Linked DNA regions of Neurospora crassa OR74A. The protein of the gene in region 6 purifies or fractionates together with the protein of the main gene of each other region. This does not show direct contact. Links are inferred from orthologs where the notes say so. Each region holds a gene or a part of one and is shown on either strand. Other genes may lie near its edges.

Region 1 (4,027 bases), about 1.6 Mb from region 6:
TGATCCGGGAAAGCGACTTACTTCTGATTTCAACGAGCTTGTCCTGCTCAACTACGTCCTCCATATCCTTCTTCTCCTGCTCCTTCTTGACAGCGTCTCGTTTGAGGTTCGAGATTTGGTTTGCAATGTCAGCATACCTATCGCCATCGGTTGATTTGAAAGTCAAGCTCCTGACGAAGTGCGCAGATGCATCTTCGAAGGGCTGCTCATCCTTCCGACCCACACCCTGGCCAGGAGATAGGAAGTTGATTCTCAAGAATGACCACTCGCCCTCGTCACTCTTGCTTGCGTTCTTGATGGTGTTGATATGGAAGGGTACCGGCCTGCCCATAACAGGCAGTACTATGGTCGCGTTCTTTTGATCAATAACGATGCCCATATCCTTAACCTTGGGCGGGAATTGATTATCCCGCTTGTAAGATTCGAAGCGCTTGAACTTTTTGATTTCGACGCCATTCTCATCAGCGGTAGATTCGGCGTATTTGGCCAAGCCTTCCTTCTGTTTCTTCTGCGCGAGTTCCTTCTGATGCTCGCGACGTCTCTTGTCCGCGTCCTCATCTACCGTTGTATTACGCTCAGAGCGTAGACGAGTGCTAGTGATGTTCTTGGTTGCAACGGCACCCACCCTAGAGTCCCGCTTCTCCTTTTTCGGTGTGGGCTGTGCTTCTTCCTCATCTTTGAAGAAGAACGAGGTGGCATCAACATCGACAGGCGCCTCGCCAGTAAACACCACCGGCTCGGAGCTAGTGACACGGATCGTATCGGAAAGGATCAAGGAATAGACCTTGCTGTTCTTGTCTTGGGGGTTGGGGTTCTGGATATCACTGAAGCCGGTGGTCACAACCAGTGTCATGCCATCCTTAAGGGTACGGGTGTTCTTGTTGTTGAGAATCAAGGTCGGGTCCTTGTTCTCCAGGCCGATTCCAAAGCCGACGTTCTTAAGAAAGTGCTTCTCAAGATCGGGCTTTTTGGACCGCACAAAGTTGTAGGCCTTGGTGTAAACATCCTTGACAATGGCACCATCCCGGATCTCCTTGAGAATGAGGTTGTGGACAGCAAGTAGGAACTTGTAGTTGCTTTCTTGGGACTTGTTGGGATCGACCATGAAAGTTCTGGCGATTTGGGAGCAATAGGACTTGTATCTGAGACCCATAGCCGCGATGATAATTCCCGGGTGGAGTATATCATTGTCAGAATCAGCCTGCCACTTCAGGTCAAATTTGCCACCACTTTGGACGATCGGTCCCAGAATCCAGTCCAGCTGCTCGGGATCGAGGTCAGCCGGGAGCTTCTGTCGGTTGGGCAGCTCGACGGTCTTCCAAAACTTATCGTCTTCCAGTTTGTTGAAGACCTTATCGGCTAGTGCGCTGTGCTTGATCTTCTTATCTTGGTCGAGGATATTGGACATTTCGTCGAGGAAGTAAGGGGTCAGGAGGGCGACGCAAGCCTTGGACGAGGTCCGCATGGCACGAAGCTCGGTCTCATCCTTGACGGAGAAGGCGCCAGCAGACAGAGCCTGGGCAACGTCAACCTCCTCCACATCCTTGCAGTTATCGGCATAGACCTTCTTCCATTCGTCGATAAAGGGGCCCTTGGAGGTGTCCTTGGTAAGGACGCCAACCTTCTTCTATAACGAGCGAAAATGTGTTAGAACCGCACCGAGATGTTGATGTGCGCCCAGGATGGGATGTAACTTACGCCCGCAGCCTTGATGGCATCCGTAATTTTGATGAAAAGCTTCTCGTTCTCGGCGGCGTCCTTCCCCCGCACGAGGACCTCAACGGGGTATCTGCCGCCCTTCACTTGGTCGAGGTACTTGGCTATTAACGTGTCAGATAGTTTGTCCGCGTTCTTGGGTCGGGAATACCGGGCGAACCTTTCTTTTGGGTGGTGAGAATGTAGATGGTGTCGAGGGTAAACAGCATGAGGGTCGTCGGGAACTCGTAACCTAGCAGCCAGAACTTTACGTAGAGCTATCAGCAGCTGTCATTTGACTGGAATGGCCCGCCAGACGTACAGCCAGCGCACGCCGAGCGGGCTCTCCAGAGGGCAAAACTCACATGGATAGCGTTGTTCTTGTGAAACTCGGGGTTCTCGTCGACCTTGCCCATCAGGATGACGATGGAAGAGACGCCACCGAAGAGAGCGTCTCCGGAGCGCTTGTCGGCCTTCCAGGCATTGTAGAAGTGCGAGACGCGCTCCTGGAAGACCTTGCTGTCGATTTTGATGTCTGCCATGATGAGCGACGGCACAGCGGCGCGCGATTGAAGATGGCAGAAACAATCAAATCAGCAGAGGTTTGGGTTTGGGTGAAGTCGTGCTTTTGGCGAGGGGCTGCTTGCTCTGGTACTGACGGTGGCGGCAGACACCCTTCAAGATGACAGAAACAAGGCTACCACACCTCTCCAGCCGGCACTGCTAGTACTTTACAGTGCTTGCCAGCCGGGATCCGGTTCCAGGCCAAAGACACAAAAATTCCCGTGTCGCGCGTCGCTCACGTCACGGGCCACAGCTCTTGGCGCCCCTGTCCACTGCCTTCGCGTTAGGATGCCTAAGAGGTTCTGTTCTGTGCCTGAGGCAACTATATATGCTGGTTGCCACGGCAATGGTGATATTCCTGAAAGGTCTGTAGTATGGGAATCGTAGAGAAGTATATTGATGAATGATGGAAATAGACGAGCGTAAATGGTGTCGTCGGGACTTCCAACAACTTGCGATTCTGTTAACTTTGTAAGTCGAACTTGTACCTCTTTCTTTAGGTGCCCTGCAGCGAGTGCATGGAGATGAAAGAGGGACAGGCGGGACAGGGCGTGGAATGGAAACAGAGGGACGGGAGGGGTGGAGCTAAGTTTCCAATGCACAGGTACGATTAAACTAAGTCTTGGCAAGCGATGGAAGCTCTGGGGTGCCGAACTTCTTCCATTTAAATACTAGTAGACGTACTAACCAGAACTCACCTTTCTTTACTTCGACGCAAAGAACGTCCTCAGCAGCGATCAACCTAGAGCTGATACCCATGTCAACCTGAATGAATAAATGAACGAGTGATGGCAATCACTGTGCGAAACGACAGCAACACTATCTTCAAGAATAGACTCGACGGGCCCAGACACCGCGTACAAGTGCAAAGAGCAATGTCCAAGATGCCGCTCGGAAAACCTGTGATGTTTCACATCTATACTTGATAGATCGGCATTCTGGAAGATACCGCCATGAGATGGAAAAATTGGCTAACATCTGCCCGACGGGAAACTTTACTGAATGGTGGAAGACGACGAACTGTGCCCATCGAACCAATCACTTGTCCGTGATTTGACGTTCACTGCAAAGCGAGCTGCTGTACTGCAAAAATAAGTAGTTCCCGCTGCCGTCTCGACAACCATTTGGGCATCTTCTGGACCTTGGTTCGGGTAACTTAGACAGCACATCATAAGGTCCAGATCACTAATAGAAGACAAGCTGCCATCAGCACAACTTCCGAGAAGGGCCCTTGAGCTGTATCCTGCCCAGTATGAAGCGAGGACGAGCCTCCCACACCATCTAGTAAGTATCCGCACAATTATCTTGGATTCCTTTATCCGGCTGGTGATTCAGTCCGGTCCTCTTTGGGATCGAAACCGTGAATCCACCGGAGGCCACTCGGGGCCGGCCCATCGGCTGCCGGTACGGCGGCAGTTCCGCACGGACCCGACCGGAGCAGTGCCATTTGGCCCCACTTCCCCGGATTCAGAAGTGAATGACAAATTTCAAAAGTTGAAGTTCGCTTCCTCGGTGTCCAACACCACCACTCTAGGTCGATTTTCAAGATTTGTACATAGAAAGAACAGGGTCATAATAATACGTCAAAATGGTTCGTGAACAGTTTCAATCAGTCCAATCCTTTGTTTCGAGACAGTTGAAGACCTCATCGCGCATACCTACCTACGAACTACAGGCTTCTCCAAACTTGAGGACGGTTGAGACTAACACGGTATTCGTCTTATAGGTTCACGCCGACGCTTCCAACTTTGCTGCCAACGTCACCAAG
Region 2 (4,299 bases), about 890 kb from region 6:
AGCCGTGTTGGCGGTTTCTGCGAAAACTGCGCGGGAGGTGCTGAAGAATTCGGATGAGGATACCAAGGTTCCAGTACCACCTACGTCCGCGGGAAGCGAAGCTCAAACGACGAGGTATATCCTCAACTGGGCGTTTGGAAGGTGGACGTTTACACCTGTTGCGGCTGAAGTCAAGGAGCACGAATCCAGCAGTGAGGCGATACTGAGGATGACCATGATTCTGGCCAGGTATGAGAGCACCAAGTGGAAGAAGAGACTGGAGGCTGGTGGGTTGTTGGAGCTTGAAGAGGAGAATGGGAAGGGCGAGTTGAGCGTTACCAAGGTCAACTAGAGAGCGGCACGTTTGATAGACGAGGAGCTATGGATTATGTATGAACGAACAATAAGACTTCGGGATAGAATAGAGCGCACCTGATGGGAGCAAATAGAAGCAGACGTCCCAAAGACATATTGACAAACTTCTTAAAAATTCAACATCCACTCCTCGCATACTCTCACCACAAGACACCTTGAACAAATCTATGGTTCCCATTCTGCCCTAGCATTGAGCGAGTAAACGGAGAGATCTGTCAAAACCCCTTATTTTCCATATCCCATGCATGTCTTGATCATTAACGCCTGCAAAGAGACTGACTGAAAAGCATCCTCAAAGAAAATCCCTAAACGCCGTTTTTGAATGACGACCGATCCGATCAACAAAACAGCAAAGATAATGAGCTAATCATGTTTTCACCGTCCATGCCACCATCGCATCTCTTTTCCCACCCCCCCAATTCAGCATCGGACGACCTTCGTAAACTTTCCTCCGGCAGTCAAGTAAAGTAAAGTAAAGGCGTGTCGGGAGTAGAGTAAACACCGCGAACAACCCCGTTAAGGCGGGCATCGATTCGATCAGTAATGACCGCCATTAGCGCCGCCGTTCACGCCGCCTCCCTGCTCGCCCTGGTCAGCATACTGGCGCAGGGCAAGCTCCTTCTGGAACTCGCGGCCCAATTGGCCGTACATGGCCACGAGCTGCTTGCACGCGCCAACGAGAGCCTCGCGCGGGGTGATGCTTCCGTCTGTCTGGATACGGATGAAGAGTTCCGGCACGTTAGGGTGGGCAACTAATAATTACGTGTCAGTCAGTTTCTGTTTATCTCGCCATGGGTGGTGGTGGTGGTGGTGGTGAGGGTTTGTGTGGGGAGGGGGGGTAAAGAGAAGAAAAGTAAAAGTGAAGTAAGACGCGGCGGTACGACGTGACGTACTCTTGTATCCTGCCATCAAGACATGAGGGGCCTGCTTCAGATGTTCGGCGAGGAGGTTGCCGAGGGTGTGGTCCTCCTTGAGAATCTTGAAGTCGGAGGTGTTCGACATGCCTATCCAAGTAATGGAAAAAAAAATCGGGGTCAGTTTTCTTGCCATTTCCTTCTTCTACTATTTCTTCTTCTCCCCACGTATCACCTCATTATCAAGAAGATGAGGAGATCGACTCGACTCACCAGTGAAAACCTTCTCCTCAATCTTCTTCTCTCCATCCTGGAGAAGGAAGAGCTCGAACCTGGTTGTTTTTGGAAGCAAATGTCAGTAATGTTTTCCTACTACCCAAAAGTGAGGTAATGATGAGAGTATAAACGGAAAGAAGAAGGCGGACCGGTTCGGCTCGCTGTTTTGCTTGGGATTGGCTCCGCTCATCTTGTTGATCTTGGTCCTGTTCGCTGTTGCCAGGTGACGAGGAGGGCATGGAATCAATATCCTTCTTGTCGTGATGGACTGTGTGCTAGTCCAAAGGGATGTTGGTTTGACGAAGGGTTTAAGTGGTGTATGAGGAGGAAGTCGTCCGCCTTTTATATCGTTGACAGCCAGCGACTCTCCATCCAGATTGAGTTTGGTCAAGGTGAATCCGTGGTAGACAAGTTACCCACCAACTCCCAGATCGCTAGTCTCCCAGCTGCCTCGCCTGCCTGTTGCCTTCCATTTGCGTCCATGGTCCATGATCAGATGAAAGCCGTCCCGTTTGTTTCGCGTTCAAAACAATAGGCACCTGGCACCAGCAACCAGACAAACACCGCCTACCGGAGGGGAAGATTGAACCAAGCTCGTAGACCATGAAGGATAGACACGTAAGGCTAAGAACTGGGGCGGACTATTCGAGTGTCTGCCTGTCCGTCCAGGTCGATTTGTTCCATTGTCGTACTGAGATGAGTTGACATTGCGGTTCCAGTCGACACCGGCATGTGACATAATGACTTTTGACATAGTCGTTATGATTCCTTGTCGAACGCCCTCAAGAGATTTAAGGCAACCCAGGTCGAGTGTTTCCGGCATTTGCGTGAGGCGCGTCGTCCAGGGCAGAAGGAAGAGGGGGGTTGGTTTCTCCATGTGGAAAGAAACCAGCAAGAAGAGAAGATTCTACTAACCTATCAGGGGCGTTCATTTTGGCGATTGGCTAACGATATGACGTAGAGCTCGTTGTTGGTTATCGGTGGTGTATAAACGATTGTCGTCGTCGCCCGATATCGTGAATTTGCGATATGGTGTTGAGGTTGAGACCGGGGGGTGACGATGTCAACTGCTCAAGAACGTCGAGTGGTTGATGTAGCAATTGTGTAGATTCGCTCTTATGGCGGGACCGGGGGAACGTAGGAATTTCGATACCCAAAATTGGAGCGTGAATGGGACAGACTACCAAAGGTTTCAGTCGCTCAGGTTTTGATACTGCTCGTCAGCTGGTGAAGGTTTTGATCTTGGTGAAGGGGGTGGGATGTTTTAACACAAGTGAACGCACTTGATCGATGTCTTCGAGGTCGTCCAGGTTGCGCATCCACTGTGAGATGGGGGCAACGCAGTTGGAGCACTGAACTCCGGATCAAGGTACGTGTGGTCTGTGCGCTCAGTTATTTCAGCGCCATCCCGCTTTTGGATGACTCGGTCCGCTGGGCTGTATACATACATGCTTGCAAGGGAGGGTTAGGGTTCAACAAAGAAAGAAAGCAGTGAGCTTGCTTGTTGGCGAAGCAGACGACGGCGACACACTGTGGGGAAGGAACTCTTTCCAACCATGAAATGAGGATGGTAGTATGCAAAGAGTAAACCGATATATGGAAGGTCATCGTAGCTACCACACTGTTCGCTCGAACACTGTTTGCAATGGGAGAGAAAGGCCGCCCCTCAAAGAGTCAGAGATTGTAGAGACTGCTAGGGAGAATAAACCCAGTAATGACACGTCAAAACAACAGTAAAATGACATCGACACCATAGACGTACAATGGGGAAAATGCCAGACTAATCAATTTATTCAAAAGTCAAACTATTCTCGCTCCATCGTTATGGTAACGAGCTTCTTCAAACAAACAGGGAAACGCTTCCCTCACGATGCAATACAAACTCTAGACATGCTTCTCGGCAACAGATTGCTCACTCCCATCAAGTCTACAGTGTAGTCCATCCCACAATCATCTAGTCATAACCCATATGTCTTGCTCTCATCATGTCGACCCCTATCCCATGATTTCCTTTCATTCTATACAACCATAATCATATCGTCGGATCCATTGTTCTTGATAAACCCCAACGCTCGTCCCATATAATCAAGAGGATACTCATGACTCATTCCGTGATCAATACGTACACGTTTGCACGCCTTTACGGGTTCAATCCCTTAGCATCGCAATAGCCAGGCGATTCTCCGCCCTCTCCAGCGCCGGCCCAGCTCATGACAGTCAAGGTAGTCGTGTACGCCATGGCAATGAAGCCAAAGACGCACAGGGCAACATCCGAGAATTTCCAGAGAGCGCTTCTGGCGACGCCCCTGTAGTGCAGCATCGGCTGTTTGTGACTGTGTTAGCGTCTGATTGATCATCTACACAAGAAGGAGCAAGGGTACGTAGCAAAACTCACCGGATAGATATACACCAACGGGATGCAAGCAAAGTTACCGACCAGTGCGACGAACTTGTCCAAGTTATCGGCACCCGCCCATGCAACCATGGCGCAGAAAGCGACGACAAAGAAGCGGAACACGTTCTTCTGCCACTTGATATACGGATTGTACTTTCCGCTCTTCGTGAAGAGTGCATTCTCCGTGATCCTGATGGCGGGGAAGATCTGCAGTGGGGTCGAAAGCAGGATGGCGAGCGAGTAGAGGAACTGCACGCCGTTGACCATTTTGTTGTCCTGGGGCAAGTTGAGGAGCACGACTGTCTCGGTCTTGGAGCCGTAGGCGGCATAGGAGACGGCGCCCATAACGGTGAACAAAGTGGTGATGATGATCATGACGACGGCCATCACCTTGGGGAACTTCTCCGGGTTTCTCATGGA
Region 3 (3,887 bases), on a different chromosome or scaffold from region 6:
TGCACCTTCATCTTCTTGGAGGGCCATCGGAAGATGTACAAGAAGGTCAAGGGCATTGAGGAATGAGTTGTCATTTGCTCCTCTTCCTGGCTACCTACCTTTTCTAATCTCTCTTTCTTTCTTCACCTTTCCTCCCATGTCCAGTCTTGGGAGTCTGCTTCTTAGACGGACTAGCAGCAGCAACAGCGGGTTTTCAAATGCATTTCAATCAAAAAGTTTGTGGGTGGGGACATAATGGCCGGATTTGTATAGAGGAAATCTGCATTTTAGAGGCCGAGTGGTGGTCTTTCTGTCAGGACCTAGATGGCGATACCTCATGTTTTCTTGTTCATAGGTTTCCTTTGTTAGATGTTCCCTCATCCGTCAGGCATTGAAGCGGCGGTAGGGCTGTCATTTCGATGGTGTTTTGGCTTTATGTAGTCTTACCCTGGGAGTTTGGTGTTTCCTGCAGAGTTGTGTAAAGCAAATAGACCAGAGCAGCAAGTGCTTACTAGACTCCAGCAACCGGCGAGAATGGCATCTTGATTTTTTATGAACCTCGCACTTTCGAACCGTTTATGAATGTTTTTTTTGGGTATTTTGGTCCCCTATGTAGTCGCCAGACCATGGTAACTATATTCACCTTTTGTCTATACCTCGCAATTGTGCGATAGATCATTTGCAGGGTGCCAATAACAGAGAGAGCTGTCCTCGTTCCGCTGCCTAGTATATGTGGTGTCTGGACGAGGGACGCTCAAATAAGATATGCTCTGGTTCCTCTCGCCCTGACTTGAATCCCTTCAGAATGCGCCTCTCTCCTCTCCCCTAATGTCAAGATCCAGCTCCCAAAGTTCCTTTTCCCAGTTTCCCCCAAAATTGACCTTGACGTGGCGGCTCGTGCCTAGCGCCAAAAGTCCGATATTTGGCCCTGATCCGTTCCGTGGGCCTCAGCCACAAAGTGTGGTTGAGTTACGGTCCCCGCAGTAAGAGACGGAGGCGCCACGATTACTAAGTAGATGCTGAGCTGGTGGTGATGGCGCGAGTGTGTGTATAGGAATGCGAATCTCAATCTTGTTTGAATGGTAAAAGTGTTGTGTTGTTAATCGAAGTGCGCAGCTCGAACTCGCGCCGCAAAGATACCGCAGATACCCAAAACCTCCCGGAAAAGACAGGCGCAATGACCTCGCAAGCCATCAGGAGGAGTAATTGACGTCGCAAATCGTAAACTGTAAGCATATGATGCTCAAGACCAAGGGTTTTGGCCGCCTCCGTAGGGAGTCGCTCCGTAGGGCGTGGTACCTCCCTGACCTCCCCAAGAGCTCTGGTTTCCTCCGTTTCCATATGGCGTAAACGATCCTTGGTCGTTCCAGTTGTCGCCACCTTCGTTGTAGCCTGGGCTGCGCGGTCCGTTGTATCCGTTCTCACCACCATCGCTTTCGGTAAGTTCGTGGATCAGACCAGCCAACTTCTGCTGGATGACCTTGATGCCTTCAGTGACAATAGCATCAGGGGGAATAGGACCGGCGGTTTCGACGTTGTAGTAGAAGCGTTGTGGTACGGCATCGTAATCGAACGGTTCGCCCTCCTGGGGAGGCTCCTCCCAGTCGGCGTACTCCGAAGGAGGCCTGGAGAGAAAAACAAAATGGTGAGACATCGGTCACATCAAAGGGAATTGGAAAAAGTGAAGATGATGGAATGTACTTACCACTCCTTCTTAGGATCCTGCTCATACCACAAGTCGAGGTGGTGCAGCTTGTTGTGAGGATCGTACTCGAAGCCGATGGCGGCACTTGGGGCCCATTTGGAATGCTCCTTTGCAATACCCTTCTTCGCGATGCATTGGAGCTTGATCTCCTGACCGTGACGAAGCTTGAGGATGAGGGGACCTTGGCCTTCAGGATCATTGATGATAGGCGAGCCGAGAACTTGGTTGACGCGATCGCCGACTGGAACAAGATCGCGGGCACAGACTTGCATGATGTCGTCGCCAGTGCACTTGGCGTGAAGGTTGAGGGTCACACTGCAATGCTCGCAGTATTCGTCGCAGTCGCAGTCCCTAGAATACAGAAGCTGCTCGATACCTTCGGCGTTGAGTGGAATCAGGCCCAGGCGGTGGGCAATGAATTCGTCGGCCAAAACGGAGCTGTTGGCCTCGATCTCGACTAGATCGATGGCAATCGTGGGAATCTCGGCAAGCATGACGCGACGAAGGGAGTTGGCGAAGCTGAGCTCGGTGTTGGAGAGCTCAAACTTGACTCGGGTGTTGTCCGCCTAGAATGATGGTTTAGAACGATGAACGAGCAGCTGAGCGCAATTGCTGTGAGCAAGAGCACACAGAACATACTTGTGAGATCTTGACGACCGGTCCCAGGGACTCGGCGTCGTCCATCACCATCGGATCGTAATCCATCTTTGCGTGTTGACCGGCGGTCGGTCAGTTGTTCTCGCTACAGTCGGCAGTTCTCGATGGTACGTTTTGTGGTGTATGATAAAATTTGGATGCGGGGGGAGAAACGGTTCAGGAAGTTGTGGTTCGAGGCAGGGTGAGTTGCGGTTGAGGTGGCCTTTGTTGAGGGCCGGTTGATGCGAAATGCAAGTTGCGGACTGATTTCGGTTTCCGGCGCGTTGACGGGTCGAGGTTCGGAGGCGCCACCACCTATGGTAGGACTGAGTGCGGCCAGTCGCCAATCTTGCCTCTGGCTGAGGCCGCAGCGGGCAGACAAAGTGACCAGGATTAAGCTGGCCTTATCTTCACATGACCTGGCGTTGGCTAACTCCACGGCGTGTCTTTAACAGAGTAGGTAGGAGCAGCCAGGTCCATCTCGACTCCCCCGCACAAAAGAGCCCCGCCAGGCACACCCGGGGCGCTGAGGTGTCGAAGCTCCAATTGTCGATTTGAGCAAAACTCGATGGTCCGGCAGGCAATTCGTCGATTTTGGGCGGTCCGTTCATGACCCGCTTTTCGGTTCGCTCCCGCCCAGCCGGCCGACAGGATTGATGCAGCAGCAGCACCCACCCTCCCACCATCCCACTGTGGGAGACACTGCGAAGGCCCCTGTTGGCCGCCCAACCCGCCGCCCGTCCATGCCGTCTCCGTCCCGTGCTAGCGCAGCTGTCTCAAAATTTCTGAGAAAGTGCCTCTCTCAACACGCGACGCTTCCCTGTCTCTGACATCGCCACATCTCACCACCCGTCACATCCAGATACCCAGCCAACATGCTACGAACAGCCCTCACCCGCTCTTCCAGAGCCCTCTGCTCCGGCGCCCGCGTTGCCGCCCAGCGCCCTATTGCTTCCCAGATCTTCCAGATGCAAGCTGCCCGGACAGCTGCTCCCCAGCTGCGCTCCGCCGCCCGGTGGTACAGCGCCGAGGCTGAGGGTGAGAAGAAGGCCGACGAGGGCGCCGAGCAGAAGGAGGGTGAGACCGATGAAGTTGCTGCCCTCAAGAAGCAGCTCGAGGCCAAGGACGCCGAGGCCCGCGAGTGGAAGGTTGGTTCTTGAGCTTCAAAGCATATGCACATACAGCCATGATGGACAAGTCACTTACACGGGATGCCCCTCTCTACAGGACAAGTGCCTTCGCACCGTCGCCGACTTCCGCAACCTCCAGGAGCGCACCGCCCGCGACGTCAAGCAGGCCAAGGACTTTGCCATTCAAAAGTTCGCCAAGGACCTCGTTGAAAGCGTCGACAACTTCGAGCGCGCCTTGAGCGTGGTTCCTCAGGACAAGCTCAAGTCGGAGGAGCAGTCTGAGCACCTCAAGGACCTCGTCAACCTCTACGAGGGTCTCAAGATGACCGAGAGCATCCTCCTTTCGACCCTCAAGAAGCACGGTCTTGAGCGCATCGAACCTGAGGGTGAGGTCTTCAACCCCAACGAGCACGAGGCCACCTTCATGGCGCCCATGC
Region 4 (3,949 bases), on a different chromosome or scaffold from region 6:
TTCCGACGGAGCCCTTCGAACGCGGCTCAAAACCCTCAGGCAAGACCTTGGGCTACCAGCACATTGTAGAGTAGAATGCAAAGACCACGCAAGTCTGCTACCAAAGTTTCTAAGCGATTGGAGGTACCATCGCTTCCAATACCATCGGCGCAGGATGAATCGAGTACGGAGAACAAGCATCCCCACAGGCCCATGAGAAGCCTTCAACAACACCGATCCTGATCAACCGGCCTCTGCCCTCGTCAACACACAAACGGCGCCCGCAAAGAAGACCTATCAGACTCATGTTGGCGTTGCAGCAATCGCAGCTACGGTCCAGATCGTGCCCGTGCTGATTTCGCCCTTCAGCGGGGGCCCTCTAACGGCGTACATCAGTGCATTTGGCTTTTTGGTGTTGCTGAACGTTGAAATGGGTGGATAGCATTTTCTCGGCGACGCTCATATTATTCCCCAGTTGCAATGGTGCTCATGGTAGTTGTCCTCCATGGGATTGGCAGCAAAGGATGGTAGGTTCTGAAGGGTTTGATCGAAGCAAGGCGAGTGCTTTCATTGCATCTGCCTGATGAGTTGCTGGGATGGTGTTCTTATCTCTCTCTCGAGGTTGATAACCTCAACGCACGGTCCATGTTGGATGTTTGTTAGCTCGGTACTTCAAACAAGACACTCCGACCTTTGTAAGGCCGGCGGAAAGTCCTAAAGATAATTCAAAACAAAAATGTAGCGAGGTCCAAAACATGTCCGAGAGAGACAGGAGTCGAAATGGCCAGAGATAGCGTTGGGAAGAGGAGTTGAAAGGGCTTAAAAAAACGTCGAATGTATAGAGAAGTGGCCCCCAAACAAAGTTTCGCTATACCAGGCAGATGTAAATGCTGCGCCTGCTGTGAGCTGTCGCCGGCCGACGTTTGACCTGGGAGCCTGGGCCTTTGACCTCCATCGTTGCCGGCCGGATTTGGCGGGGACTTGGGTGAATGGACGTTATGTTGCATTAGTAAAGCTGCAATCCAACCAATCAGCTTGACGAACTGGCCGGTTCAAGATCCACTTTTGGCCTCGCCGCCTGGAGCTTGGACTTTGTTCAGTCTGTGCTTTGCCAGCAGCAACCACGTCTGGCCTGCCTTGTAGCCCAGTCGGACCTTGTCTGTCGGTTTGGGATTTTGGAGTGGCACTCTCCGTCCGTCCCTCGCTGGCGTTCGGCCACTTTCCCCAAACCACCATCACCACCTCCTCAACCAACATCGCGACCTCCTCCGCGCGTGTTGTCCTCTCACCCCGCCACTCCCTGCAGCCGCCGTCGACGTTTCTGTTGCGCTGCATCCATTCTCGCACAAGTCGGCATCCATCGACTCGATCCGTTCATTTGCATCTCTTTGAAGCGGCAAAGAGGGTGCAACGTCGCGTTCCGACATCGACAAGGAAAATCCGAAAAAAGTGACGAGCTGTAGATGGGCGACTGAGTGATCCTCGGCCATCTACCACCACCTACCGCCGGCTAACCCGAGCCGCGATACCCATTTTGCTTTTCTCAATCGACCGACCGTTATCTTCTTTTTTAATCGACCCCGGATACCCCAACAGCAGCCAGACCAGACGCTGTCGTCGCGTTACCGCCTAGTCTAGTGCCTGCCGATTCCCGGTCGGACCTTTCATTCACATACCCCGCCACCGACCGCCACCTTTCAGGATCCATTCCCGATTCATCGATCACTTGTTCAGCCAGCCCTCAGCCCGCTCGACAACCATCCTCTCGCCCGTTCACCAAACCACCTGCACCGCTCGCCTTGCTGATTTGCAAGATGGCCGCCTACGCAAAGGACGGCAGCCAGAGCTATGGCGGCTATGGAGACACATACGACAATGATGACAACTACGAGAACCTCTCCACTTTCGACGACGAAGATGACGGTTCCGACCCCAACGCCATCACGCCCGAGGATTCGTGGGAGGTCATCTCTTCCTACTTCGACCTCAAGGGCCTCGTGTCCCAGCAGATCGATTCTTTCAACGAGTTTACAACAGACACAGTGCAATCTCTAATAGACGAGTATGCCGATCTTACCTTGGACCACCCAAGCCCAGGCGACGACGAGGGCAGAGAGATCATTTTGCGCAGATACGACGTTCATTTCGGAGAGATCATCATTTCCAGGCCGACCCTCACCGAAGCCACGGGCGAGACTATTAGTCTTCTCCCGTACGAATGCCGTGACCGCAACTTGACCTACTCGGCTCCCATCTACTGCAAGGTCACCAAGCGCGCCCGTATCGCCGTCAGCGAAAAGAAGCCCCTCAACCAGCTGACCGATGACGAGCACGACCACATGGCCCGCACCGGCGAGCACCCGACTGCTCTGCGCTGGATCGAGGAGGAGAGTGCGCCACCAGAACCACCCAAGGACGACAAGATTAACCCGGAAAACCTCAAGGGCTATCTCTTCCTTGGCAAGATCCCTATCATGGTCAAGTCCAAGATCTGCCACCTTTACATGGAGGACGACGAGTCCTTGTTCACCCTCAACGAGTGTCCTTACGACCAGGGTGGCTACTTTATCATCAACGGTAGTGAAAAGGTTTTGATTGCCCAAGAGCGCTCTGCCGCCAACATTGTCCAGGTCTTTAAGAAGCCTCCTGGTGGCAGCGTCTCGTACCAGGCCGAGATCCGCAGTGCTCTCGAGAAGGGCTCCCGTCTCATTTCCTCCCTCCAGATGAGGCTGCACACAAAGGCTGACCAGAACAAGGGTCGTTTGGCCAACACTGTGAGCGTCACCCTGCCCTACGTCAAGGAGGAGGTCTCTCTCGCCATTGTGTTCCGTGCTTTGGGAGTTGTCTCGGACGAGGATATCCTCAACCACATCTGCTACGACCGCCGCGACAGTCAAATGCTCGAAGCCCTTCGTCCCTGCATTGAGGAAGCCTTCTGCATTCAGGACCGTGAGGTCGCTCTGGATTACATTGGCAAGCGTGGTAACGGCAGCACCGGAATAAACCGCAACGGCCGTATCAAGGCTGCTAAGGAGATGCTCCAGAAGGAACTGCTACCCCATATCTCTCAGGCTGAAGGTTGCGAAACCAGAAAGGCCTTCTTCCTTGGCTACATGGTTCACAAGCTGCTCCAGTGTGTCCTTGGCCGCAGAGATACCGATGATCGTGATCACTTTGGTAAGAAGCGCCTGGACTTGGCTGGTCCTCTGCTGGCCAAGCTTTTCCGTGGCATCGTGAGACGCCTGACTCAGGATCTCATGGGCTACATGAAGCGCTGCGTTGATACCAACAAGCACTTCTCCCTGGCCCTCGGTATCAAGGCCTCCACCCTTACCAACGGTCTCAAGTACTCGCTTGCCACTGGTAACTGGGGTGACCAGAAGAAGGCCATGTCCTCGACTGCTGGTGTGTCCCAGGTCTTGAACAGATACACATTCTCGTCGACCCTGTCGCATTTGCGTCGTACAAACACGCCCATTGGTCGTGACGGTAAGCTCGCCAAGCCTCGTCAGCTGCACAATACACACTGGGGTTTGGTCTGCCCAGCAGAAACGCCAGAAGGTCAGGCTTGCGGTCTGGTCAAGAACTTGTCTCTGATGTGCTTCGTCTCGGTGGGTACACTGGCCGATCCCATCATCGAGTTCATGATTGCCCGAAACATGGAAGTGTTGGAGGAGTACGAGCCTTTGCGGTATCCCAACGCCACCAAGGTGTTCGTCAACGGTACCTGGGTTGGTGTCCATCAAGATCCCAAGCATCTCGTCACTCTTGTCCAGAACCTCAGACGCAAGAACATCATTTCGTTCGAGGTTTCGCTGGTTCGCGACATCCGTGACAGAGAGTTCAAGATTTTCTCGGATGCCGGTAGAGTCATGAGGCCGTTGTTTGTTGTCGAGCAAGAAGACAACAGCGAATCCGGTGTCGAAAAGGGTCAGCTCATCCTTACCAAGGAGCATATCAGGCGCCTTGA
Region 5 (4,219 bases), on a different chromosome or scaffold from region 6:
GACAGAGCGGGAACGCATAGAGGTAGGTACCTACCTACCAGGTAGGTAGATTTTTGACCGCTAGAGCGATACCCACCTCAACCGCCTGCACGCCCTGCAGGCTGATACATTCCATGCCGTACTTTTGGAGTACGGCCTCTATCCATCCTGCGGCCCTGAAGAAGAAGCGAAGTCTCAAAGGATGTGCCGATGTCTTATGTTCGTTGTAGTCGAAGGGGAAAAAAAAGAACCATAACGGATCAACTAGGTAGCTGACCATCTGCCTGCCGCTCTTCAGTGTTCATTAGCTCCATTGCGCGCCCAAGTTGAGGGAACATCGAGATACTAGTTTGACACTGCCGTTGGGAATGTCGTCTTTGACGCCCCAAGTATCGTATCGATATATGGTAGAGAAAATACAGAATTAACACATATTCGTGTCACGAAAGTACCGGAACGCCCCAAATACCCAGCTGCCTGCCTGCCTTCCAGCCTGTGATCTGCCTTTTTAATCAAACAAGTAACGACGCGCCAACATGAAAAATAAACCTAAGCCGTCTTCTTCTTCTTCTTGGGGCGCTTCTCTCCCTCGTCATCATCCATATCCTCATCCTCATCATCGACCCGATTGTCGACGTCGCTCTCCTCGCTGCCCGACCCATCACTCTCATGGTTGCTGTCGTATTCCTCCGCCACGTCGCTTTCGGACTCAGCCTGGAAGTCCTCATCCACGCTCTCCTCATCCTCGTCAGCGGAGCCACGATCAGCCTTGGGGCCGACGGCCTCTTCGTCCGAGCTAGCCATGTCGTCATCGCCCAAGGCGGCGGCAATAAGGTTGGTGTCATCATCAATTTCGTTCTTGACACGCAGTCCTTTGAGCTTGAAAAATTCCTCGAGAGCCTTCAAGTCTTCACGGTTAATGTTGCTGAATTGGGATGAGCCCGCGCCGTTTTTCATGTGGACTGTAATGTCGAACGTCGACAATGCCGAGACCGCACCGCCCACGCGTGAAAACGTGATGGACTGTGTCTGTTCGTATGAGATGTACGTGGCCGGCTTGGGGACAAACATAAACGCCTTCTCCAAGCAGTAGAGGAATCCTTCACTGGCTTTGATAGAGCACTTGATGCCGTACTGCTGACGGTGCCTGCGGGTTCCTAGGTCAGTACCGTTGCTGGCTATGAAATGAACAGATATAACTCACGTTGTAAAGTCCTTGGCTGGTGTAGTGACTTTCTTGTTCGCAAGTCCCTTGAAAATGTACGCCACAACCTGATGAAGTGGTTGCTCGTAGTGGCTCTGAAGCTTGTCCTTGTATTTTCCGTTGAGTTCCTCCTCGGTGATGTTCAGGTCAAGAGTCACCTCTTCGTCCGCCTTGAACTGCATCACCACAAATGGATAACGTGTTTGACCTTGACGAAGGGGCGGGTCGAGACCAATGCAAAGCAAGAAATGGAGATCGTCCGGCTTGGGAAGCACCATAAATTTCTTGATAGCATCGTATTGGATCTTGTAGTCGTATGTTTTGCCACGGAGACGGAAGGAGGCATCGTACATGTCGATGTCGAAACGTCCTCTATCGGGAGAGTTAGCACCGGAAAAGGATCAACAACCAGCGTGCAGTTTCCACGTACCTGGGCGTGAGATGTAGCACATCGAGGAATGTAGCGATAGTATCACCCGCCGTCTCACCAATCTCGGCCTTCTCAATAAGGGTGTCGTAGAACAGAGTCACGGCGTTCTTCTCTTCTTCATCGGCGTCGCTACCAGCCTCACCACCCTCGGCCTCCTTTCGTGTTGTCGTTCCAGGGATGTAGAAGCGCACCTCGACCAGCTGATCCTTGCCGGCCGACGCCTTCTTGCCCTTTCCGCCTGTTCCGCTGTGACCGTTCGACTTGCCGCCATCGTTGCCGGCGAACTCGACTGCGATTTCGTTCCTTCCGGCAAGATTTGTATTGGAAATCTCGGAGTAAGGAATCTCAAAGGCCGGTCGGTTTTGGACGTTGAAAGTGAGCTCGGCTTTGCTAAACTCAGCCTTGCCCCAGTTCCATCCTCTCAGAGAGTGTTCCTTGTTCTCGAGGTTCACGCTGTACCAGTTCTTGAAGATCTTGCTAAGGCGCTCGTAATCCTGTGGCAACACGTCAGCGTTCCTTCGCTTCGATGGCGCGTGGATAGGTTTCGTACTTCTTGGTGGAAACCATCGAGCTGAACTACGCCAGAGCTTCGCAATAGGATTTTAACCTCATAGCCCCTCGCCGCCCTGCTCCATTGAGCACCGCCGATGTTGCTCGAGTCGAGAGTGAACGCTTCGCCGCCACCCGCAGGTTTCCATCCCAAGCCATTTTCCGCGAATCTCGACTTTCCGCTCTCCTTGGACAGATCCAAGTAGATATTGTCAAAACTCTCGCTGTAAATGAAGGTATTAGAAATGGCACTGAGCTGTGATCTCCGCCGGTGAAAGCCGTGCCCTACGGCGTAGATGGAGCGGGGCACATCCGTCGTCGCAGGGTTAGACGAGCAAGAGCGCGCGAAAGCATGAAATCCAGAAAGGTATGCGACTTACATGGCAGCCATATTGCCCCTCTATCCAACTGGTTTAATGGTGAGTTGGGGTTGATGGACAAGTTGGAAATGGCGTCTGATGTTGTGGCAGTGATTGCAAAGTGTTGCAAGCAAATACTGATGAACAATCCAACTGAAGGTTCGCGTGCCTCGGAGAAAGTTGACCGTGTCGCGACTAGGCCAGTTCGTTAATTGAAGGTTAATTCGGCTGGCAGGTGGCATTCCGCTGGGCTAGGCGACGACCCATGCTGGTGGCAGGTGGCAAGTCGCAGTACTACTGTACGTGTAGGGTCTACGCAGTGGGCAACAGCTTGGTTGTAGCGCGTGGCAACTGTGAGCTTCTGATTTCTCTCCCAAGCCTGCAAGAACACCACCACTTTATTCAGTTGTCACCTTCCAAGGAAGCTTTGCCAACGACACACAGGCCTTCTTGTCGCTCTGAGAGTCATTCACTGTTTGTATCATCTTGAATGTCTAAAAGAAACTGCGTCCTCTTGTCCTCCAATCTGTCGCGATCTACAGTAACACAACACCTTCCATTCTCTTGTAGTTACGGATCAACAATTATGTTGGGTGGTTTTTTCACATTTGAATTCTTTGTATCTCGCTCCTTCTTGCTTGTATTCGTTCCGCTAGTGCTCGGCCCGTTGAACACGGGAGGGAAAGAGGACGTTCCAAGCGAGTCGCTTCGTTACGTGGGAAAAGTGTCCCCTCGCGACAAGCGTTCCTTGTTTGGTCAGAGCATTTTGAAGCTTTCAACTGGTTCCAAATATGCCACTTGGGTTGCCACTCTCAATCTACTAAACAAACTCAACATAGCTTCGGTTCATGGACATGGGCGCGATTCCCAATATCGTCAACCCCCCAAAAAGCATGTGGGGCTAGCGCGTGGAGCTTTAAGTGGTTGCATATGATATCTTCCGCGCCTGTTTCATGACATGGGATTGTATTAGAGGTACTTAGTCACCTTAAGTGGTAATGTTCTCTGCCTTGTACCACTTCTTGATCTCTTTCTTTTTCTTCCCTTGAACACAAACATAACTCTCAAGTTAGTTCGTTCTTGTTGTGCCCATTGGCTGTTTCACAAGGGCGGAAGACTCGCTCACCGAAGGTGACAATTCCCGTCGTAGACGTTCCTGCCTGCGGCCTTGACCTGGAGACCACGAGGGGCACTTATACGCCACCCCACGATTGACGTATTACATGCTTGAACTGGTGGCATCCCGCACACCCGCTCAAGCTGCCCCGCCTCGACTTCCTTCCGTCACTCGTCTGCCCTGATCGTCATATTTCGCTCGGTTTCTTTATTCAAACAGAACGAAGCTCTCCTTTGTTGCCTGGGCCGTTTGTTTGCCTGCTTCAATTGAACCTTAGCTGGAGCTATTAGTATACCGAACTTCCGACTTGCACACTTACTTGGCCCCCCAAGGATCCCAACGAAGCTTGAATCAATCTTTCCACCATCAATCACTCTTGTTGCCTTGTTGTTTCTACACCTTTTCAAAGATGAGCTTCGAGCGTCCCCTCCGTGGTGGCTGCCAATGCGGCCGCAATCGTTACATCATCCAGTTTCCGCAAACCACTACACAGGCGGCGCAAGTCATCTTCAACCCACCGCCTTCTCAATGTAGGAACCTGTCCAGCGATACTGACTCTCAGGAAATTCCGATCACTATCT
Region 6 (3,968 bases):
GACGCCTGACTAGCTCAGCCAAGGCCTCGCGTTGACTCTCATCGCGAGCTAGGTTGGTAAAGGTACCGTGTTCGAGAATCCTTCCATCCTCATCCATCGAGACCCAGGATACAGGTTCACGGTTGGGATCGCCCATGCCATTCGATAGCGTGAGCACGCGGGGAGTCGTGCCAATAACCATACCTTTGGGCTTATAAGGGGCTTGATCCAGTCTCTTGAAGTAAAGCTCACGGCAGGTTTTAAGCAGCTCATCCTGGCACGCCGTCCGCAAGGAGTCTTTCACACCCTTGACAATAACCTTTACCAGCTTGTCAAAGGCCAAATCGATCACCTTTTGACGTTCCGCGTTCCACTTGTCGGCAAGCTCGCTAAAGTTCTCCGAGGCGAAATCACTAAAAAGTTGTTGCCTAAATTCGCGGTCGTTCTCCAGCGAAACTTTAATTTCGATGAGCCCTTCTTCCTCTGCCTTCATCATCTTGAGGAAGAGCTCCGGGCGAACGGCAAGATCGGCGATAGACATGTTTTTGAGATACTTGACCTCGTAGTAAGGATTTGCTTCGTCAATCTTGCGTAGACCCTTGTCAGTACGACGGCAGCTCACAATGCCCATGCCGTAGAAATTTTTCCTGAAGTGTTTGCGCATCCGAGGACTGGCAAACATTTCTTCAGCAAGCATCTGGCGAGCAGCATTGATGACCAACTCGCCGGTCGGGAAATCGGCGTCTACCAATGTGTCGGCCAGGTCATCTGGTAGCCTTGAATCGTCCTCTGAGGTCACCTTGCTGCTTTCGCGCAGAATGTTCTTGGCAAGACGATCAGGCGTTATTCCGAGTGCCTGGACAAACTTGTAGGCATTGGATCGCCGGATGCGTTCAAACTGGGCTGTCCTGCCACCGGCCCTCTTAATCTCACGCTGTGCGCTATTATCGTTGGCAGCAAGGTCCTTCAGCTCCGCCGAATACTGGAAGTTTAGGTAATCTTGGAGATCCTGGAGCTCCTCAATGGACTGCGCTTGGCGTATCATCTCTTCAAGGATATCGTCCCGGGTCTTTTCCTTGAGCTTGTCGTAAGTTTGTTCTAGCGCGTTACGCTTCTCCAGGAAAGACCGGAACCTGATGTCGAGATCCAGGACCTTCCACAGGTCATCTTGGGTAAGGAGCTTCTCGGCGTCAACAGTATATTCGGGAGCGTCAGGATCGTCACGGCGATTCGGGTTGCGCATCTTCTTGGCGTGGATGAGGTAGTCTCTTCGGTGCTGGAAAACGTAGGGAACTTCGACGCCGTCGATAACGAAGAATTCGAGGACCTTGCCCACGGCCTTGTTGAACGGACCGTGAAGCTCACTGGAAAGATTTTTGCTGGGTAGCATCAGGTTGCTGATCCACCGAGCCTCCTCCTTGAACTGATCGGACGTCATCTGGAGATTCTTGAAAGCCTTGCGATCGAGCTGGAAGCGCTCAGGCTCGTCGTTGAACCGAATCCTGTTATCCTCGTCGGTAAGAAGCTTCTCCTTGAGCTGCGAAGGTTCGAAGACATCCTGCAACTCGATATCTTCCTTTGTTCGCTCCGCGTGCTCCTGCTCTTCCTCCAGCTGCAACGCCCATTCGTAATCTTCACCATTACCGAAAATGGCATCCATGTCCTCGAGAGCATCCTTGTCGAGGCCGGTTGTGTCGATGTTGAGGCCCCTATCCTTGGGACGAGCAACCTCCTCATCTTCTTCGCGGTGTCGACGTTCTTCGTCATCCTCGGGGTAATCATCTTCGATGAAGTCGTCGAACTCGTCCGCTTGAGCCCGGCCGCTGGGACGGCCGTAGCCTCGATCATCGTGCTCTTCGTCCTCATCGGAAAAGATCTCGGCAAGACCGCGACGTTCAGTGGGGCGGTGGTCATCCCTATGACCCCGTTTCAGGCGCTTGAACTTGGTTTGCTTGGAAAAAGGTGAGCCGACTGGATGATATCACCGGAAACCGTAGAGCACATACCTGGGGTTGTGGCTTCCGCTCCCACTCAGGAATCGCTTCACCAATCAGGTCGAGATCTTCTTCGTCGAGCTGCTCCTCCTCTTCGCGCTCACGACGGCGCTTCTTTCTCCTACGGCGTTCGCGCGCATCCGAATCCTCGGCCTCGTCCTCTTCATCTTCGTCTACGATGAAACCTTCGCGAATCTGTGAGCGGTGGGTGTGTCAGCGTTGTTCCCAACCGGAGCTATGTTGCAGCATCGGGCCAGAGGCGGCATACCTTTCTAGCCTCTTCCTCATCTTCGTCGTCCTCCTCCTCTTCGCTGGAATCATCAATGTTGGGTCTTCTTCTCGGGCGGTCGCCGGCCTCCTCATCAAAGGACTCATCATCCTCCTCGTCATCGAGCTCGGCCTCGCCGTCAATCAAGTCGCGCATGCTGTTGCTCATGGTTACGGCTGGTTGGGGTGGCGCAAACTGGTGTGTAAATAGGTGTCTTTTCGGACAAGTCTCGACCGCCTAAGAGGGTCGGAATTGGAAATGAAGCGCGTTTCGATGGGAGCAACAGTCGCTCTTAGGGTGCTGATGAAAAAAAGAAAAGAAGAATACAGGAGGAAGTTGGGTGAAGAGCGAGCTCGTTTGGTGAAAAAGAAGTGATTAGCAATTGAAGGAGGTCTGAGTTGACCGCGACTGCCCTGAACCTTTCTGGCCGAAAGGCTGCCCGCTTGCTGCTGCTGCCGCCGTGTACGTGCTGCTCGCTCCTAGGTGGTTCGCCTGCCGCCAGGTCACGTCGGTCGGTGCACGCACGTCAATTGTGTAGTGTCGACCAGACCCGAATTTTTGGAGCAAGACGGCGGGCCAAGCAAGGCCCGGCCACCCGCCCCTGTACATACCCTCCAACTGAACTTGTTACGCCACGCGCCACATAACGCGTTCAGCCTCGCCAAGGCCCAGGCCATAGAACTGTTATGTACAGAGAAAGAACACATGGCTTGGCCCGTGCATTTCGTCAACATTGAACGGCGAGCAGCCCCATCACCAACTTCCAGTTGTCCCGAATTCTTTATGTTTTGTGATGGCATCTTTTACTGTGCTTGTCATTTTGCTCACGAGGATGTCACAACGCCCTTTGGGTTCGTGCGAAAACAGTTCACAGATTTCGTTAGGCCAGTCTCGGACCGTCACGACCATACATCTTGACAGCCAAACAATCTGGAGTTCATCTGTCAGGAGAACAACAAAAAACAAAAACAATATTGTAAAGTGCACATCGGAGCATATGGTGCCGTGTACAGACACCAACCGACACCAACCGACACTATCCATGCCCTCGAGGGGAGCTAGCAACGGAAGCTCTAACTATGATGTTGAGCACATTGGGCATGTTTATGCAAAGTTCAGTCGCCGACATGCTTGAACTCTGGGATCCGCATGGCTAAACTATATCTGAGAGACGTTCATGCCGCGCATCATGGAACTCACCACTTGAGTTGAACCGAGCATCTTTGGTTTCAGATGTTCTTCGGGGGGTCATGATCCCCAGCCATCCGCGCTTAGACCCACCATTTGGCACGCATATCTCGAACAAGTCCCTGGCATCATCCGGATCACAGCCGACTGTTGGTTCTGGTCATGCCCAATCACAGCGGTATTTTGCTTGATTCGACATCTCATGGCGCGCTTCTTGAGAGCTCTGGGGTTGTACGAACATGACGTGCACTGTGCTTGCTGTGCTGCGGTTAGACTTGAAGATGGTCCTGTCATTGGCATGTTGATACTTTTCTTTTGTTTTGCTGGTAACAGGGACACATGCGTGCCAGAGAGTTTCTTCATCTCTTGCCTGTAAGCGAGCTACACTACAAGAGCTTCACAGGGTCCACTGGAGATAGGCTGTGCGCAAGATGGCACCGTCTATTTATAAGTACGTATGGCTAAGTACCTGGGAATAGCTTCGTCCGGACCTCTCTCAGAGTCCGCACTGTATTTCCCCCCCACTACGGTGTGCCGTC

What was found.
Region 1: the proteins of NCU04611 (region 6) and NCU01164 purify together in Saccharomyces cerevisiae (affinity purification with mass spectrometry; 5 studies listed by BioGRID, with this or other methods). This does not show direct contact. The link is inferred for Neurospora crassa OR74A from reciprocal best matches to the Saccharomyces cerevisiae genes SPT6 and SPT16.
Region 2: the proteins of NCU04611 (region 6) and NCU03782 purify together in Saccharomyces cerevisiae (affinity purification with mass spectrometry, with the first as the bait; 3 studies listed by BioGRID). This does not show direct contact. The link is inferred for Neurospora crassa OR74A from reciprocal best matches to the Saccharomyces cerevisiae genes SPT6 and RPB11.
Region 3: the proteins of NCU04611 (region 6) and NCU01515 purify together in Saccharomyces cerevisiae (affinity purification with mass spectrometry; 9 studies listed by BioGRID, with this or other methods). This does not show direct contact. The link is inferred for Neurospora crassa OR74A from reciprocal best matches to the Saccharomyces cerevisiae genes SPT6 and RPB3.
Region 4: the proteins of NCU04611 (region 6) and NCU05120 purify together in Saccharomyces cerevisiae (affinity purification with mass spectrometry; 3 studies listed by BioGRID). This does not show direct contact. The link is inferred for Neurospora crassa OR74A from reciprocal best matches to the Saccharomyces cerevisiae genes SPT6 and RPB2.
Region 5: the proteins of NCU04611 (region 6) and NCU00133 purify together in Saccharomyces cerevisiae (affinity purification with mass spectrometry; 4 studies listed by BioGRID, with this or other methods). This does not show direct contact. The link is inferred for Neurospora crassa OR74A from reciprocal best matches to the Saccharomyces cerevisiae genes SPT6 and POB3.

The regions. Positions count from the first base shown.
Region 1 is NC_026505.1:3,095,916-3,099,942, reverse strand, and holds the start of NCU01164 (transcription elongation complex subunit), read right to left. Parts: upstream 2,801-4,027; 5' UTR 2,238-2,800; coding exon 2,061-2,237; intron 1,962-2,060; coding exon 1,877-1,961; intron 1,821-1,876; coding exon 1,699-1,820; intron 1,628-1,698; coding exon 22-1,627; intron 1-21. Other genes in the region: NCU01163 (GAF domain nucleotide-binding protein), read left to right, coding at 3,848-3,850, 3,986-4,027. UniProt on the Saccharomyces cerevisiae protein: Component of the FACT complex, a general chromatin factor that acts to reorganize nucleosomes. The FACT complex is involved in multiple processes that require DNA as a template such as mRNA elongation, DNA replication and DNA repair.
Region 2 is NC_026505.1:2,390,594-2,394,892, forward strand, and holds NCU03782 (DNA-directed RNA polymerase II subunit RPB11), read right to left. Parts: upstream 2,801-4,299; 5' UTR 2,417-2,800; coding exon 2,400-2,416; intron 1,541-2,399; coding exon 1,482-1,540; intron 1,359-1,481; coding exon 1,248-1,358; intron 1,107-1,247; coding exon 892-1,106; 3' UTR 453-891; downstream 1-452. Other genes in the region: NCU03781 (CobW domain-containing protein), read left to right, coding at 1-331; NCU03783 (transmembrane domain transporter), read right to left, coding at 3,625-3,807, 3,880-4,299. UniProt on the Saccharomyces cerevisiae protein: DNA-dependent RNA polymerase catalyzes the transcription of DNA into RNA using the four ribonucleoside triphosphates as substrates. Component of RNA polymerase II which synthesizes mRNA precursors and many functional non-coding RNAs.
Region 3 is NC_026502.1:3,218,554-3,222,440, reverse strand, and holds NCU01515 (DNA-directed RNA polymerase II polypeptide), read right to left. Parts: upstream 2,630-3,887; 5' UTR 2,390-2,629; coding exon 2,324-2,389; intron 2,251-2,323; coding exon 1,685-2,250; intron 1,605-1,684; coding exon 1,223-1,604; 3' UTR 501-1,222; downstream 1-500. Other genes in the region: NCU01514 (mitochondrial dicarboxylate carrier), read left to right, coding at 1-66; NCU01516 (mitochondrial co-chaperone GrpE), read left to right, coding at 3,196-3,468, 3,548-3,887. UniProt on the Saccharomyces cerevisiae protein: DNA-dependent RNA polymerase catalyzes the transcription of DNA into RNA using the four ribonucleoside triphosphates as substrates. Component of RNA polymerase II which synthesizes mRNA precursors and many functional non-coding RNAs.
Region 4 is NC_026506.1:3,684,660-3,688,608, forward strand, and holds the start of NCU05120 (DNA-dependent RNA polymerase II RPB140), read left to right. Parts: upstream 1-1,149; 5' UTR 1,150-1,793; coding exon 1,794-3,949.
Region 5 is NC_026503.1:2,736,155-2,740,373, reverse strand, and holds NCU00133 (FACT complex subunit pob-3), read right to left. Parts: upstream 2,801-4,219; 5' UTR 2,554-2,800; coding exon 2,543-2,553; intron 2,387-2,542; coding exon 2,164-2,386; intron 2,108-2,163; coding exon 1,614-2,107; intron 1,556-1,613; coding exon 1,184-1,555; intron 1,127-1,183; coding exon 529-1,126; 3' UTR 265-528; downstream 1-264. Other genes in the region: NCU00132 (hypothetical protein), read left to right, coding at 4,048-4,168. UniProt on the Saccharomyces cerevisiae protein: Component of the FACT complex, a general chromatin factor that acts to reorganize nucleosomes. The FACT complex is involved in multiple processes that require DNA as a template such as mRNA elongation, DNA replication and DNA repair.
Region 6 is NC_026505.1:1,505,100-1,509,067, reverse strand, and holds the start of NCU04611 (transcription elongation factor spt-6), read right to left. Parts: upstream 2,801-3,968; 5' UTR 2,410-2,800; coding exon 2,242-2,409; intron 2,169-2,241; coding exon 1,986-2,168; intron 1,931-1,985; coding exon 1-1,930. UniProt on the Saccharomyces cerevisiae protein: Histone H3-H4 chaperone that plays a role in maintenance of chromatin structure during RNA polymerase II transcription elongation thereby repressing transcription initiation from cryptic promoters.